3 linked regions of the Arabidopsis thaliana genome follow. The protein of the gene in region 3 interacts with the protein of the main gene of each other region in a pairwise test. Each region holds a gene or a part of one and is shown on either strand. Other genes may lie near its edges.

Region 1 (6,280 bases), on a different chromosome or scaffold from region 3:
AAGCAGTTTGAGGAAGAGGATGGAAGATCTTTCGCGGTCCAAGTATATCATGGCTACACAAAATCACTGCTCTTTTTGCGTTCCTTTATTCTTGAGTATCTTCACGTTTAATTTACTATTATTTTCTAATGAAAAATTGTACACCTTTTTATATATATGAACTCTTTGTTTTTTCGTTAGTTGCTCGTGTAGTAAATTAAACATATATGCTCATAATCAATAAAAACATACAATGTTAGAAGAAAAAAATACAATTTTTTTTACTAACGAATCATATGAATAGTTGTTTTATATACGGTACATTAACGATCCTCTCATCAGCTTTATAGATAACGAAGCATATTATTCTCCTTAGTTCCGCTTTTTATCACTTGAGATTAAACTCTACTCACAGGTTTAAGCACGTAAATTAGTTACTAAATAATGGATTTGACATTTACGCTTTGCATGCTTATATATGTTACCCATAATTATTTCCCTTTAGTTACTTAAAGTTACCAAAATCAACTACTTCAAGATTCTCCAATCAAAAGAAGCGTGTAAAAGCCTCTATAGTTATATAGTAGTATATAGACCTTGAAGATTTCTTTTTGAAGAAAATATGATTATACTGAGTTCAAAAGGTCGAAAAGAAATAATAAAGGTAGAATCCCTTTACATGATGTGTGGAACAACTTTTCTTGACCTCCAACTTCTTGGGATCGTGGGAAATATATAGGAGAATCTAATCGGAAGTTGTACAGAACGTGTAAGAACTAAGAACCATATTCACTTTGTTGTCATTGTTATAAGATTCAAGATTCTTTGACCGGCGCGTGAAAAAAGCATCCACCTATAGGCTCAAGATTCGTGTCCAAGAAAATATCGAGAACCGATGATTACTTGGAAAGTGGACCATTTTTTAAAAAATCAAAAATTAAAAAAGGAACGTAGCTCATGCGAATAGTTTAGTCCACCAAAGTGAAATGGTAGAACATTTGGTTTCAGTTTAGTTGTGTGTATTTTTATTAAAGGCTTCAGAATCAATTTCGATTTTTGAAAAATGAGTTTTTATAGCCATGTTAGTATGTTACGAGGATGGAAAAGCAACCTAGCTAGATTATCTTGTGATATGTGTTATTGTTCAAGAGAAGTAGGGGCAGTAGTTGTCGAGATCATGTTATTAGTGTCGCTGGAATGTTAGATATTGCCCATCCTGTCTCTTTTTCCCCATCGTGCCCTAAAAGTCAAACTATGCATGGTATTAGCTAATCTTGAATAGGTTTAATTCAGTACGGAAACTCTAATTGAAAACTACCTTCATGGAGTAATAGTTATCGAGGAACGATGATGAGGTATTAGTGGAGATAAGCAGATTTGGACTCAATATCAAAAATTAATGGTGGGATCCATTTCCGTTTCACCTAATATACATAGTGGCAAACAAAAAACAAATATAAGAAGAAAAGATTCAGTATCGAGCATTCTAGCTATGTCGGTAACGTGACAAAGTCCTTTTTTTCGTTTGTCTGTTTCTTTAAAGTTAATCAAATCGGCCAACGCTGCCTCAACAACGAGCTTCCTTTTTCTAACGTCCCTAATTTGCCACGTCCATTTTCTGGACTAGTCCCGGTTTAAAAAATCTTCAGAGATGTATTCGTGGTCAACTTCATTAACTCTTTCTCTTGAGCCCTTCATTAGTTATGATCTTATTTACTTTTTAAAAATCTAACCAAGTACTGTATATTATATATGTGGTAGCCAAAATATTATGTTAAATTCTAGGCTAATCCGATATATCAAGAAAAATCAATATATAAAAATGGAGAGCTATTTTTCACGAGTTAAGTGAGAGAGATGAGTAAAGAAAGGCACGGGAAGGTGAAGAGAGTGTAGGTTTCCAGCTTCTTCCCCAAGAAATAAAATGTATTTGACTTTGTCTAAGCAAATATGTCGTCACTTTAACGTCATTCATTACCTAGAATGCAATTAAGATATGGCTTTTACATAAGCCACCAAATTTGGTTTTGTTGCCCCAAAATATCCCAAGAAAAGATCAACTTCTTCTTCTTACCAAAACTGTCGGCGTCGTCTCCTCTAAGCTCCTCCCATGGAAGCAGAAGAAGGTCATCAGCGTGACCGCCTCTGCGACTATTGCGACTCCTCCGTGGCTCTTGTCTACTGCAAAGCTGACTCCGCCAAGCTCTGCCTCGCCTGCGACAAGCAAGTCCACGTCGCCAACCAACTCTTCGCCAAACACTTCAGGTCACTTCTCTGCGACTCCTGCAACGAATCTCCCTCTTCCCTTTTCTGCGAGACTGAAAGGTCTGTTCTTTGCCAGAACTGCGACTGGCAACACCACACCGCCTCTTCCTCCCTTCATAGCCGCAGACCCTTTGAAGGATTTACCGGCTGTCCCTCCGTGCCTGAGTTGCTGGCCATCGTTGGCCTCGATGACCTCACTCTCGATTCCGGATTGCTTTGGGAGTCACCTGAGATCGTTAGCCTCAACGACCTTATTGTTTCGGGCGGGTCGGGTACTCATAACTTCCGGGCCACGGATGTTCCTCCTCTGCCTAAGGTATAACTTGCTCTGTTTTTTTTCTCGAGCCAATTGCTCGGTTTTTATATTTCTCTGAAATGTTTTGAAATGCTCCAGAATCGTCACGCCACCTGCGGGAAATACAAAGATGAGATGATCCGACAGCTCCGTGGACTATCCAGATCTGAGCCTGGTTGTCTGAAATTTGAAACCCCAGATGCTGAGATCGATGCCGGGTTCCAATTCCTAGCGCCGGATTTGTTTTCTACATGCGAGCTGGTAATAGAGACTGCTATTGGTTGTGTTTTCTTGTGCTTGTCAAATGATTTTCCAGCTTATAAATCTCTCTTGTCAATATGAAGGAGAGTGGACTGAAATGGTTCGATCAGCAAGATCATGAGGACTTTCCATATTGCTCTCTGCTAAAGAACTTGTCGGAGTCAGATGAGAAACCTGAGAATGTAGACCGAGAGTCATCGGTGATGGTTCCCGTTTCCGGCTGCTTAAACCGATGTGAGGAAGAGACTGTGATGGTTCCGGTTATCACTAGTACAAGGTCGATGACACATGAGATCAACAGTCTTGAGAGGAACTCTGCTCTCTCTCGCTACAAAGAAAAGAAGAAGTCTCGAAGGTAAACAAGCTAATTTAAAAAGTGAGACACCACCAATAGGATTGGGATTTGAATCATGTGTTGATGAAACAGGTACGAGAAACACATCAGGTATGAATCACGCAAGGTTCGTGCAGAAAGCAGGACAAGAATCAGGGGACGTTTCGCCAAGGCAGCAGATCCATGAATGATGATGAGGTTACTTTGATAATCAAAAATCTTTTGTATTAATCGAATCATATAGTGTGTATGATCAGATAAGTTTTTGTATTCTAAGCTTAGGAGTTATCACTGTATATCGACCACACTCTCAAAATTGTCACTTAAGAATAGTTTTTTTTTTGTTTTGCCTCCGATTCCTAATTTGCCAAAGGGCAAGCATGGACGAGCACAGAACAAAACATGGTTCACAGTTATATACAATCTCAAGACAAGCAAGCAGCAAAAGAACTTGTTGTAATGTTAGAAAGTGAGATTGGACCCATTAAAGATCCATGGAGCAAGAAGGGCTTGATGTAATTGATATTATGGGCTCAAGTTGTAACATAGTAAACCCAATATAGGTTGGCATGTTTGGGCCATTTTCTTTTAAAGCCCAAATATAAAAGCGTCTCTTCCCGATGGCCGGCGAAACAGAAATTCCGCTGCCGTCGCAGCTTTCACTCTTGTTTTTTTATTCAGATGAAATTGGATGGCCGATGAAGACAAACATCCAAAGGCATGGGCTCGCGGCAACAACTATTTGCAATCTACCAATATATAATAATCTGAGGCAGTATAAAAATACAAAAAAAAATGACAACACTTTTTGGCAGATCATTCCTGCTACGATGAATCTGTCCCAATGATAATCTGAGAAGTAAAGTAAGTTTTGGTTGAACAAGGAATCTGGAGTGGGTTTTACTTGTTGAGCAATCAGTAAGCACTAAATCATGTATCAGAGTTGTGGTTATATTCTCTATGTTCTTCTTAGAATTCAAATATGAATCTGACTTGGAGTTCTTTATTTTAATGATGGTTAATTTTACTGTTAATATTTTTGGATTTGAACATTTGGTGAAGAGTGGTTGCAGCTTGAAGCAATTTTGCATCTCTCACTCTTCGTTTACTGTTTGTTGACGTTGAAGATTAGGCCCCAACAAACTTGTATATAAGAGCCCTTCTCTGTTTATTCTCCTGTCTTAAGAGCGCTAAATCCCTTGGAGACATCTTCACCACACTGTTCAGAGATCTGTCATGGGCCCCGGAGGACCAGGAGGACCCGGAGGACCAGGGTTCTTGCCACCGGGAGGACCAGGCTTCTTCCCACCCATTGGTGGTTTCTTTTCTGGGTTCTCCGACATGATATGTTCCTGGTAAAGACATTCTCTGTTTTGCTATGTGTTTTGTAAAGAGTTAAGTGGTTAGTCTGACTGTGGAATCTTGCAGTCTATCTTGTCTGTGCTGCTGCTGGCTGCTACGAGATTGCTTTGGCGGCCCACCGCCACAAGGACCGCCACTTCTGCCACCCTATTATTGACCACATCTGACTCCATTGGTCACTCGAATAATATTAAAGCTATCTCTGTATAGGATATTGCAGATGTTTGTCAAATTCAATCTTAAATATAATAATTCAAATGTCTCAATTTCTGCTCTGTGTGGATATATATTACCCAAAAAACGATCAAATTAATTATCAGAGAAATGAAATCATAGTCTGGAACTACAATCACTAGCAACACAATGCAACAACAACAACAACAAACACAATCTACTGTCTTCGATTCTTGACTCTTCTCTTGTATGGACTTGCCAAGACTTTTGAAACTATGTACACACACTTCTAAGACGAGGCCAAACCAGTCTTCTCTTTCAACATGATACAACTAAATAAACACGGAGTCACAGGGTTTGATGGAATTAATCATTCACATGCTATCTTGGTGTCGAAACTGCTGAGGCAAATGGTGAAGGCCTGGAAGGCAGAGATAGGGTACTGATAATCCATTGTGAACACATCTTTTCCGACTTTTCCAAACTGGAGAATCACGTTTTCGTGCTCAGGTCCTGCAGGTCCATTCTCAGGAGCAGCTACCAGCTGAAAGTTTTTGACGGAAGCAACTGTGACTCTCCCATTGAAGTTGAGGCACCAGCACTGGAGCTGTTCGTGCCATCTGGGCGCTTTGTTTTTCAGGACAAGCAGTCCTTCCTTCTGAGCAGCAGATGATGGACCAGAAGGGAGACTCTCTGCACGAATTGATTTCGACCTGAAGAAGGAGAATGAGGGGAAACTATCAAGATTGCTATGGACAAGTTCCGTCTGAGTTGGAGCTGTTCCTCCAGGTTCTACAGCTGATGCAGGGATGGCATCCATGACACACTGCATCCTCCTCGGTCCTCTGGTATGATACGACAATGTTCACAATTAGCAAAAGCCATATTAAGCAACTACCGTTTTATCTCACAATGTATCTGTAAGCAAGGAGATAAATCACCTGGAACCCAAGACGTTAAGCTCATATGAGATATGTGCTACAGGATAGTTGCCAGATGGAATTCTCGGGCTCACTTGTTTCAAACTGAGAAGTCTGCTTGAACGGGTTCTGGTAACCTGAGTTCCAGGATTCGTCGGCTGAGCGTCATAGACAGTGAACTTGGTCCCCAGAAAGTTAGATCTGAAAGAAAGTTAAGATAAGAGAAAGGTTATGGCAAATATATGAAAAAACCATGGGGTCAATCTGTAGCTAAGTACCTAAGCTTTCCGATATAGGTATTGCTTCCTCGAGAGACATCATCGCAGTTTAAGGAGATGATGTAGTCAGTGCAAGTTGGCCTCCGAAACCTCTTGGCAGCAAGAAGGAACTTTCCATCATCATTTGAAGCTGCTGCTGGACCAGAAAAAGTAAACCTTTGAGTGTTATTCAGAAAGAGATTAGGTATGCAAAGAGAAAAGAAGAAGCATCTGTTAGTTTCACCTTGGTTTAACCCGAGGTATAGATAGTAGGTTTGATTGCTGCGGTTTCTCATAATATAGCATTGAACAAGTGATCCTCTAGGACCCGGCTAAAAGGAAGTAGGGAAAAACGATTAGCCTGGATAAGCACACAAGTCATTTATAAAGTAAAGAGAGAATGTGATGGGATACTCAACCTGTTTGAGGGAGA
Region 2 (4,517 bases), on a different chromosome or scaffold from region 3:
TTTTTTTAAAGTAATATTAAGGGCCCCATTTCATGTAAAAGTTTTTTTCTCCAAATATATTGGGCCATTTATTAGATATTTTCAGTCAAATTAATTTTTTTATAAAATATGGCCTTTTTAAAAAATAATTCAGAAAAAATCATGGAATCATGGGCTACTGCCCTTTTGCCCATCCTATTTGGGCCGAGCTTGTTATCATCAACCTCGACCCAATGGGTGAGTCGTAAGGTGTGAGGGTCAAGACTTTTTTTATTTTTGAAGTAAAATTGATATATAAAAAACCCATATTTTATAAAACAACTTATAATTAGCCCAAAATTATAGTTCAAAACCCCATTTTTTGTTTTAAAAATAATAAGCCTGATTTTGTTTTTTAAATAAAGCTTTTTATAGCAAAAACAAATTGGGTAACCTTACATCTCTAATTTTATTTGGGATGGGGCTGATTATCATCACAAGGACTATGCATAAATGTTTTCAATAACTCCATATCAATAAAAAATAATCTGGTTTGATTGCTTTTATCCAGCTAACTAAATTTCACACCAAATGTTGAACTCATCATTGTTTTTTCTAGATTTTGCATGATTCGTTTGTTCAAGTAATCAGGTTCGACTTTCGATTAAAGCCTAAAAATCTCATGAAACAAAGGTTTTAGGCAAAGAACTCTCTATATAAATATATAGGCGCATCATTTCATAAAAAGTTTATTTCCGAAAAGTTGATGGATATCCGCTTTAGGTGACCAGTTCGATCCTAATTTCCTAACTTTTGTAATTTCTTTTTAACAGGTGACGGCAAATTATGTTTGGACCGGCCCTAAAAGTAGTAATTATTTCCTTTAAAAATAATATCTAAGGTTAAGAGAAACATATTCTTTACATAAACAATATCTTTGGATGTTTAAATTTTAAGCTTGATATTTTAACGAACTTTGGCGCGAAAACCATCTATTCAAATATCTCTTTCCACCACTTGTGTTTTCATTGATTTGGAATTGTTATCTGCATTGAGATATCTTTGAATGATGAAACATGTTCCTTTGCTACCTTTAAATTAATGCTTCAGATTAGATCGGTCTCATGCACAAGACAAATTGACATACATATTTGCATCTTTGAAATGCTGACAATATTTGCAATCTCCTAAGAATGATAACACAAAGAAGCAGGCCAAGCATTGGATTTTAAGTACACAACTATAGCTTTTTCACTCGAAGCCAAAGTCACCTTATCTATGCGGAAACTCCACATACTTTCCATTGCGCATTAGAAAATTCTCAGTTTGGTATCTTCCCACTAATTACCACTCCAAGGCACCACTTATAGTTTTCTTCTTTGACTAATCAGATCTTGGGCACAAAACCATTGACGACATTCCTCATATGCTAGCTTTCACATACTTCCCTAAATTGGTTAGTATAAAATCCACCTTATCTAAAGCTATAGTTGACTAATAGCTTTCACCTTATCTAAATTTTATAAGTTTTAAAATTTATAAAATCCAAAAAGTATTGGTTAACAAAAATTTATAATGAATAGAAAGTGAGGTTTTGTATTTTGGGATTTCACATATATTAGTAAATATTGTATAACACAAAACAAAATATTAATAAAAAATAAATTTTATTTTTGAGAAAATAGTTGGGCTGATTTCGTAGCCCACTTAATCAGCCTTTAAATATGGAAACCCTAGCCTAGAAAGTGAACAAGAAAAACGTAAAGATCAAAATGGAAGAGAACAACGGCAACAACAACCACTACCTGCCGCAACCATCGTCTTCCCAACTGCCGCCGCCACCATTGTATTATCAATCAATGCCGTTGCCGTCATATTCACTGCCGCTGCCGTACTCACCGCAGATGCGGAATTATTGGATTGCGCAGATGGGAAACGCAACTGATGTTAAGCATCATGCGTTTCCACTAACCAGGATAAAGAAAATCATGAAGTCCAACCCGGAAGTGAACATGGTCACTGCAGAGGCTCCGGTCCTTATATCGAAGGCCTGTGAGATGCTCATTCTTGATCTCACAATGCGATCGTGGCTTCATACCGTGGAGGGCGGTCGCCAAACTCTCAAGAGATCCGATACGCTCACGAGATCCGATATCTCCGCCGCAACGACTCGTAGTTTCAAATTTACCTTCCTTGGCGACGTTGTCCCAAGAGACCCTTCCGTCGTTACCGATGATCCCGTGCTACATCCGGACGGTGAAGTACTTCCTCCGGGAACGGTGATAGGATATCCGGTGTTTGATTGTAATGGTGTGTACGCGTCACCGCCACAGATGCAGGAGTGGCCGGCGGTGCCTGGTGACGGAGAGGAGGCAGCTGGGGAAATTGGAGGAAGCAGCGGCGGTAATTGAAAAGTGTTGATTGGGTTTTAGGGTTGTAATGCTTTTGTGAGAATTTGTATCTCTATCGAGTCATGTTTGTTGTTGTTGTTGTTATTATGTTTTGCTTTCGTTAATGTCATGTGTTCTGTTGTTGTTGGTGTTATGTGTAGTCTTCCATGTGAAATATCACATAGAAGACTAAACATAACATCAACAACACCAAAACACATGGCATTAACGAAAGCAAATGGAAGACAATGGAATTTTAGTTAACTCTTATTTTCTTCTTTGCTTTAGATTAGTTTATGCCAAAGAATCACCAAAATATTCGCAGTTCATTACGAAAAAACACAATGAACTAGGCATAAATGTCAATTACCATAAAAAACATATACTACTAGCTCCATCTTCTAGTTATCCTTTATGAAAGTAGAAAATCCCCATGGCTCATGGTATTAATTTTGTATACGTTGTGAATATGTAGGCATCATGATCTTAGGATCTAGTAAGAGATCTTTTTGAATCCCGAATCTATGTTCGTAAATTTTCCAGCATTTTGATTTTAAAATGGATTTTCGCGTGAAAGTTATACTCCGGTTTTATTATGCAACGAAATTTTACTTGCAAACCGCTGATATATTATTCCAGTTTTCTCAATTTGGCATGAGTTGTTTCTCACATAGTATATTTCGTTTTCAAGATATGAACATCTAATGTGTAAAAGATCTATTGAAAATATAGTTGTGGAACACCTTGAAAATTGTTGTGGATAACAAGTGTTCGTAAAACAAACATTGTTCGTAACGACCAATTAGGAGCCACATAATAAAACCAAATATTTTCACTTCGTAATCATTAGATAAAAAAAAATCTTTGAATATTTACTTTTTTTTTAAGCAATAAATCTTTCTTCTTATGAAAAGATAGAAAACAATCTAGACAATTTAATTTTTAGAAGCAATAAATCCTTCTGTTTATGAAAAGGGTCCTCACTCTTATATATATACTTGGTTTCATTTTCTTTTTACTTTAAATGGCTACATTAAAGAGTAGCCAGAAAACATAAATAAAAACTCCAAAACACTACTTTCTCGGTTTTATATTATAAGTTGTTTTAGCCAAATTATTTTGATTCTTAACATAAGATGTTTTAGACAAATAATTCAAATTTCTATGCAAGCGTAGAATTTATATACTTTTATGACTATATATATATTATGCAGTAACGAATTTCATTGGCCAAACTCACTTTAATTAACTAAATATTAAATTATGTTTTTAATTTAGAAAAAATATATAAAAAGATAAATTAATTATTTAAACTTTGTGTTTAAACATCATATTTTTTTAAACAATGGGAGTACCATAGTTACCGTTAATTTAGAGAGAAAAAGTTCTTATTTAAAACTTCAAATGTATTCGTTTTATGAGTTTCTAAAAAAACCAACTAAAGATTTTGAGTATGGAGGAAACAACGGCAAAAACTGAAGTGTGGTTTGTAATTTAAGATTTCTAACCGCTTTCGTGAGAATTTGAATTACTTTTCAAGTTATGTTTTTGAATTTAAAGTGTGTAATGTTAGGACCTAAAGACTTGAATTTCCAAATATATTCAAAAAAAAAAATGTTATGATTTTTATTGTGAAAATGGAGAGTGAAGGCAAGTTGTTAGGCATAAAATATGTAGAACAAACAATATGTATTCCTTAAAAAAGGATAAACACTTTGAAGATTTGAAGAAACGAATTTTGGATGCTTCTAGATTTTCAGAATGGATAAAATTCAAAAGAATATGCAACACTCAATTCATATCTCAAAGAGAATGAGGAAAAACTGAGGTATTCTCTATGTTAAGATAAGGAGGCAATAAAGGAGGAAGAGACATAAAATCCTAGAAAAACAATATTGTTCAACAATTGAAATTTTTTCAAACAATCATTCAAGACCTACAGATACAGTATAAATTTATTCTATTGTCAGAAACATGACCATCTAGTAGTATTAGTAGATGAATATGCATATGGCGATCATTGCTTTGATGATCTGAATAAAATCACACTCTTTCTGTTAGTTTCAAATGCTGGAGACTTAAGTTTCTTTACAAATAGATAAATTATCTACTACATCGTTGAATAGAAGTTGAGGAGTAACCAAAACATTTAGTTGAGGAAGTTGTAAC
Region 3 (7,757 bases):
TTTCTGAGGTTCATCAGGAATAGAAGGCATCAAACGGGTTAACAATTGTTGTTGCCTCCAACCTGAATAGAGCGTTCTTCCAAATACACATTTGCGGTTGCGCTTCTTTCGGGATTCAGACCAACTGTGGTACTTTGCAGAATTGTAGAACTTCCCATAGTAAAACAACATGATCTCTCCTATTCCTTTGTTCTCCATGAAATTCTTCACCTGAGTAAAGTTCTTCCCAAATGTATACAGACCAAGAACAAAGCTAGCCACCTCCAAATCTTCCCAAGAACTGGACGGTATCACAGGAACAGCCTCAAGATTCGATCTTTGCTTCTTGGTTTCCGAATTCTTGTCACTCTTTCCTCTGATCTTGGCAGAGCAACGGCTTTTTTTGGCTCTTAAAGACTTCAAGGACTGGTTCATGTCAACATTGTCATCTCCATTTCCTTGCCCTCTTCTATGTTTGTCTATCCACATGACTTGGACAGGTAGTCCGATGAGAAAAGAATATGACGAATCATCCAAAGCAACAGGAGTCGAAAGAAACACAGCACGCTTGGTTGCAGACATCATAGGAGGAATGTCGACCTGAAATTCATCTCCAACACGAGGCTCAACTTGTGGATCTCCGCAGGGAAACTCATCATCATAGGAATCTTCTTCGGTAACAGCTGTTGTTTCTTCCATAAGATTATTCTCGGCACCCATCAGAAGAACCATCCTCAACGTAGTGAAACCTGAACAAGCACAAAAGAACTGCATTTTCAACATCATAGGAATCTCAAACTGCTGAAAAAATGTAACCTTTCAAGAACATAAAAACTGTGAACATCATCTAAATCAAACAGCAAAGGGAAATCAATCCTAGTTTCCTTGCAAATAGATACTACTAAGAAGCAAAAACACGAAGATAAAAGACCCAACTTGGAAATTCACTACCCTAAGTATGAACATTGAAATTAACTATGAAAGATACAAACAAAACCGCAAGGAGCTCAAATACATACATTGTACAGAGCAACACGACGGGGTAAAGTAATAAAGCTCAGATATTTAAGATCACGGTACCAAACTGAAGATTCAACTACCTCAGATCGTGAAAGAAGTTGTTGAGGGATACCAAATACATTCGATTCAATCAAAAGACTTGATCATTGAAACAAACACAGACACAGGAATTAAAGCAAAACCCACAAAAGCACGAAGCCTAGGAAAGAGATAAAATCTAGTATTTTCAGAGCCAAGTTCCGTAGAACAACTGACCCAGATTCATAATCAGACCTGATCAAAGCAAAACCCATAGGCATCGATCCCGAACATGAAAAAGTTGTATGTAATTCTCAATGATCTCGTAAAGGATTAACCAAGAGACGAACATATGACAATGGTAAGCAAGAAAAGCAGGAAAAGTCGAAATCTTTACGCAAGAGACAAAAACATGGAACACACAAATTCTAAAACAAAAGTTGGGTACTTGATATCAAAAGCATCCCCGATTGTTAGTTCTCTCGATTTCTAGTAAAGCAGTAGCGTTGCGACACAAGAAACCCCAGAAAGAGGAAAGCAAACCCGAAAACATGAATTGCCAAACACGGCAAAAGGAGATAGATTTGATAACCTGAGTTAGTTTATGAGATGTCTCAACTTTGCAATGTTAGAGATTGTGGCACTTTGAGAATCTGGAGTTGGCAACAGGAACAAAGACAACGAAGAATTGTTCGTGTTTGTGGATAGAGAGAAAGAGCACTGGTCGCTCTTTCAACACGAAGTCTTCGAGAGGAGAATGAGGCACATAAAAGGAGAGAAATATTATGAGAGAGTCGCAATATAAAGATCTTTTTTTTTTATATGCACTTTGGAGATTTTCATTGGCTATTTTAAGGGTTTTATTAGAGTGTTTTTATTGTTTTCAGTTTTAACTTTTAAGTGTTCAAAGTTATAAAAAAAAAATATACTTTGAAGTTGTGGACGTGTTTTGTGTTCTCCATTATTTGATTCGGTGTGTTACTACTAGGTTTTTCTTTTTCTTTTTACGATAATTGATGATATCGTTTCATGCTACAATTTCAATCAATATTAAAATGATATAAATTTTTAAGAAAACAGTTATAATACTTTTTAATGTGTATGATGAAGAGACCCAAGATAATATATATTGAACTCTCATATGCTAGACTAGAAGTAGAATTTACATCCAAAATATGGCATACGATCAAACAATATGTTGTACTTTTGCCAAAATAATTCAAAAAAGTGTTGGATAAAACACTTAAAGCCGAGGTGGATGAATGGAAGCCTTTAAGCCAAGGTTAAAAAAACAGTCGATGGACTTCAAAGTTAATATTGGGCTAAAAATTGAAGGACCCATTGACGAAGAAAAAGTGAAACAAACTTAATATCAGAAAACAGAAAGCCCATATGGTTCTTCTATCATTTCAAGGCATGCAAACCGTAAAATTGTTTTCAGTTTGGGATCCGACTTGGAATTTGGAAAAGAGAATAATAAACCCACCAATACACTATGAAATGAGAATAATAAAATACTCCATGGGTTACAAAAGACAGCATTGGCGAATTATTAATTATCATGTTTAAGCATACAATATAATTAGCAAGCAAAAAATAGGAGACCGTTAACAACTTTCCAATTGAAGTGTGATGCAATTGATAAATTAAGGGCAAAAAGTGTGATGCTTTTCACAAAGAAATAAAACTTTACATACACTTTTTTTCTAATTGGTTGTGAATGGTTAAGTCAACTCAGTTTCGAAGTATGTAGAACATCTTTTTAAATCGCATAATCCGGTTTTTAATTAATGACGTATTCTAGGTTTTTTTTTTTAAGTGCGTATATTCTAAGTTCTTACGTAAATATATGTCTTTAAAAAGATTATAATGATTAGTTAAGCCTCTCTATACCATGAATAAAGTGCAGAATGTAAAGGAAATGCTCTAAGAACTCCAAAAAAAAAAAAAAAGAAGAAGAAGGAAATGCCTGAAACTTTCCATCTTTCCGTTAATAGACTAGCAAGAACTCGAACAAAATGTGTGTTCACACATCTTCTACGATATTTTTTCCCAAACGAAAGGTTTATCATTTTCCCCAAAAATTAGGATACATATTCGACTAGAGACGTTCACCTACGATCACCAATTCATTAGGAATTCTTGATTATACAAAATATTATAAAATCATTATATTTAGACAATCCAAATCCAAATCCACAAGATACAAAATCGTGATAGTTTGACGTTTCATAATGCCTCATGTGGCTTACAATATGCTTAGGGTTTGAACCCATATCTAAAATGCACATGCTCTTAGTATATAAACCAATGACTTGGCCAATATAGACCCATTGAATATTTGTATTGGTTAACTTCTAACGACGAAATTTCTCAATATTTTGTTTTTAGCTATTGCCTTTTATATAGATTTGGTGAATTTTTGCGCAGTATTGCTAATAATTAAATAAGTATTTATTTTTAAAACATATTAAAACCAAAGGTCAAATGCATGCGAGTGGCCGTACTGGATTATGCGGATTACGTGCCTCGAATTTCATATTTTCTATAATACAATTAAGGTTTTGACATTCCATAAGCCAACCATTGCTTCATCAAGAATAATTTCTTTTACCAAAGTAGCTACGCTCTAATCAAAATTAAAGTTAAGATTTAATTTTAGATATTAATTTAGTATTAACTTGTCATATACAGTACTGTACGTAGATATCCGTATGTATTAGACGGATTGATGATGCATATGGATCAAAGCTAAGCCACAATCACCAAACAGGTATAAACGATTCTGCTATAGCTTATATAAGCTTAATTCACATACATATATACAGAGAGAATCTTAGACATATATTATATATATAGTATGTAATAAATTAAGAGTAGGTTCAAGTAGTACATCTACTCATCATACACATACACACCCTATATAATCTATATATAGAGAGAGGGAGGGTCATATAGGACAACTTGTATAAAAAGGTTATAAGAGAAGCGAGAGCTGATAGATTCACTGAAACAAAAGAGAAAAATGACAGACGAAGATAGATTGTTGCCAATAGCCAATGTAGGGAGACTTATGAAGCAAATCCTACCATCAAATGCAAAGATCTCAAAAGAAGCAAAACAAACAGTTCAAGAATGTGCAACAGAGTTCATAAGCTTTGTTACATGCGAAGCATCAGAGAAGTGCCACAGGGAGAATCGGAAGACGGTGAATGGAGACGACATCTGGTGGGCTCTCAGCACTCTCGGCCTCGATAACTATGCTGACGCCGTGGGTAGGCATCTTCACAAGTACCGTGAAGCCGAGAGAGAAAGAACTGAGCACAACAAAGGTAGCAATGATAGTGGGAATGAGAAAGAAACCAACACTAGAAGTGATGTACAGAACCAATCGACAAAATTTATTAGAGTTGTTGAGAAGGGAAGCAGCTCCTCGGCCCGTTGAACTAGACATCTAAGTTCTGAATTATTTACTATGAAGCCAAGAAAGATCTGTAGAGAGACCAGAAGGATTCAATAATGTCAATGTTGAATCATTAATACAATGTACATGTTTGTAATTGATTTCTAAACATGAGTTTCTACATACATATATATAAATCTATGATATTTCTTCTTGCAAGCAAATAACGTGTAATTTAGACTTAGAATATTGGTCGGTTCGAACAATAGGAAGAGGAGAAGATAGCAGAAACAAGGTACTAGCAAGATGATTTTGGTTTTCTTTTTCCTTTTGGTATATATATCACCGCATAGGTCGATCCAAGGCTTTCCATAAACATAATAGGCCAAAAAATAAGAGCTTTTTGTATATCTTACCGCATATATCCATTGATGGATCTGTTACAGTGGCTAGAACAATGATATTTTTTAATCCCCATATGCCTAATGGCCTTCTGGAGCCTGAGGCTAGTGTTAACCAAAATAAAGGAGCATTGGGACTTGACCATTTAAAATGAAATCCTAAAGAAGTCAGAAAGTAATTAGTTCACATTAAAGGAGAAGGAAGCTTAGAAAGTTGACACTTGCCAGATTTTATTTCACATGTAAGTAGATTGGTCTCTACAAAACTTAAGAACAAGAAAAAAAAAAAATCCAACTAAGTTAAAGTCAATATTTCTTCTTTTGCCAAAAAAAAAAAAAAAAACAGCTAATAGAACTAAGAACAACCAATAGGGGAGATGATAAGGTTTTTTTTTTAGTTTATCGTAAAACTAAAGATGTCAAAAGGGTCTAGGGTTTGAATAGAGAGAGTAATAGGTTCAGAAAAAAAAAACAACCCCGAGACTATGAGGACCACAACCTTATGGGCACACTAAACCTAAAATTTTATATGAATGTTTCAAGATTTGTATATCTTATGACATGCTCGCTTTATGGTTATCTGCAAATGGGGTAGTTTTATATCATCAAATAAATAAGAAAGTTAGAAACAATTCATGAAAGAAAGATGCAGCCTATAGTTTATGTAGAGCTTTCTTGGGACCACTTCTCAACTATCTTATGTTCTTGCTCTAATCAACTAAGATTGAACAAGTAACATATATAAGAGATTAGTTCAAAGAGACAAAAGCTGAAATCACAAACATCAAGATCTTTATTTATCAATAACTATACCAAGATAGTAAGTAACATCCCATAGTACATTTTAAACTATTAGTATACCAATGTAGTAACACGCAATGTTTTGCTATGTACTAATATTAACCTTAACAATGTTATATCTGACATCTATGTACTTAATGATTCTAGGGATAAATGTTTGTTTCCATTGGCTCAAACCATGGAATCGCGGCATTGAGCTCCTGCACAGGCAGGCAGCGATGCCTCGGGAACCATGAGCGCGAATATTTTAAGGTAACAACCAGTACAACCCACATCTGATGTACCCATTGCGAAGGACAAAGAGAAAGATGAAGAGGACAGGTCCATGTGAAATATAATAGCTTATTATGTTGATTTTACTTACAACCATTAAGGTTGCAGCATGGACCAAGAAATATAATAGCTTTATGATGATTTTAGGCAAGTTGCTGAACTTGATTCCTATGAAAAATGAGATGCACGCATGTCAAAAGTTCTTCAAGTGAAAGAAAAGTGCTATTTGATACCATCTTAGTTTTCTCTCTTCAGTTATTAACTATTTGTAGTAGTGGACTATTCGGGAACAACTCATTTCTAATGAAATTTTAAAGCTTGGCATTATGTAAGAACACATATATATTTCAGATTAGGTTTTCGTTTGACTGACGAGAAACAAAATAAAGAATGTGCAAGAAAAATTGGTATACAAATTATTTAACTATTTTTACAAAACTGTGTAATCTTCCAAACCTAATTTCAATGATATTATACTTCTGGTGACGTGAACGTTCTCGTAAAACAAAAAACAAAAATCATCGAAATTATACTTACGGACAAAGAGTTATGGACTATCTATTTTGGAAGGAGAAAAAGAGAACCATCAGAAATTGCCTACAAGAGAACCATCAATGATAAACTCAGATTTTGACTTTTGTACCCGAAAGAGAAAGAACCATCAATGAAACTGCTTGCGCGTTAGTCTCCCAATATTTTTCCCAGCTTTGATGTTTCCTTAAATTCCTTTTTGGGCAAGGTTACAAAGAACTAGGCTATGCTATATTGTATAATCTAAGCTTTTCACTTTGATTGATTTCATATCAAAAAAAAAAAGAAAGAAAGAAGGAGCATATGTGATGTAATTGGAGAGTTGTTTAGACTAAGAGAAAAATGTATTCAGTGGAGGCTAAAGAAATTCTTCTCGAAATCTGATGCAAAACCCATAACTGAAAGAAAAGAAGAAGAAAGAACTCTTTGAATTAGTTCCCGAGCCAAAGATCATATACATAACCAGAATTACGACGAAGGAGTTACGGATGTTTAGGACGAGAGCCAAAGATGTTCTAACAATATGTAACCAAATGAAGACTTTCCAAATATTAAAAAGAGCCCTTATGAGATAAAAAAAAAAAACTTTGTTGGCCTGTTTTTCAATGCCCAAATATAGCGATCAAGATTTTGAGATGAAAGTTATGACCATTAAAGGAGTATATATATCCAATTGTCCATACTAGCCAGCGACCGTGAATGCTGCCCAATAACCAACAAGCCAAAATGACCATTGTTTACAAATGTCTTTCTCATTTGCTGTTTTCCGACAGATAGAGTAAGTGTATATATAGAATAGTACTGAAAGAGAGGGCCGGGGGACTTATATACGTTTTGAGGAAAAAGATAAACAACATTAGAGTAAGAGCGAGATATATACACTTATATAAAGTCATGTCTATAAGAAAGTTCAAATCCAACTTAAAAATATATACTCACAACAAATAAAAGTTACATCACTTCGATTATTTAGAGTTTATAAAACTAATTAGAAACCGAACTCTTTTTTTCTTCAAGGTCGTGTTTTGGTTTTAGGCTTTTAGCCCTAATTTACAGGTCTTTCTAAGGCTAAATCTACTATAAAATGTAATTGCATGCCTAGGGTTCAAACATGAAGTCTCCTCTCCCTCAAATAATGTCAACTTGGAAGACAACACGATTGTCTCCCTGTATTACATGTCTACCGAGAATAGATGTACAATGTAATTTCATGGATTATGTTTAACCCGATAATAAATTGGTGTGGGATGTAATGATTTATTTTCTTTAATTTAAGAAATTATAAGAGTTGACACAATAAAAATTAGAGAAAAAAAAAACATGGCTTTTCT

The links.
Region 1: the proteins of NF-YB4 (region 3) and AT2G47890 interact in a two-hybrid assay, tested with the Arabidopsis thaliana proteins (one large-scale study listed by BioGRID).
Region 2: the proteins of NF-YB4 (region 3) and NF-YC7 interact in a two-hybrid assay, tested with the Arabidopsis thaliana proteins (3 studies listed by BioGRID).

Annotation. Positions count from the first base shown.
Region 1 is NC_003071.7:19,606,156-19,612,435, forward strand, and holds AT2G47890 (B-box type zinc finger protein with CCT domain-containing protein), read left to right. Parts: upstream 1-1,840; 5' UTR 1,841-2,089; coding exon 2,090-2,560; intron 2,561-2,638; coding exon 2,639-2,800; coding exon of another isoform or gene 2,801-2,881; exon of another isoform or gene 2,882-2,883; coding exon 2,884-3,155; coding exon of another isoform or gene 3,156-3,159; exon of another isoform or gene 3,160-3,227; coding exon 3,228-3,321; 3' UTR 3,322-4,132; downstream 4,133-6,280. Other genes in the region: TLP3 (tubby like protein 3), read right to left, coding at 5,041-5,515, 5,612-5,791, 5,869-6,004, 6,092-6,179, 6,267-6,280.
Region 2 is NC_003076.8:20,552,972-20,557,488, reverse strand, and holds NF-YC7 (nuclear factor Y, subunit C7), read left to right. Parts: upstream 1-1,730; coding exon 1,731-2,369; downstream 2,370-4,517. UniProt on the Arabidopsis thaliana protein: Stimulates the transcription of various genes by recognizing and binding to a CCAAT motif in promoters.
Region 3 is NC_003070.9:2,905,316-2,913,072, reverse strand, and holds NF-YB4 (nuclear factor Y, subunit B4), read left to right. Parts: upstream 1-4,040; 5' UTR 4,041-4,042; coding exon 4,043-4,462; downstream 4,463-7,757. Other genes in the region: AT1G09040 (arginine-glutamic acid dipeptide repeat protein), read right to left, coding at 1-711. UniProt on the Arabidopsis thaliana protein: Component of the NF-Y/HAP transcription factor complex. The NF-Y complex stimulates the transcription of various genes by recognizing and binding to a CCAAT motif in promoters.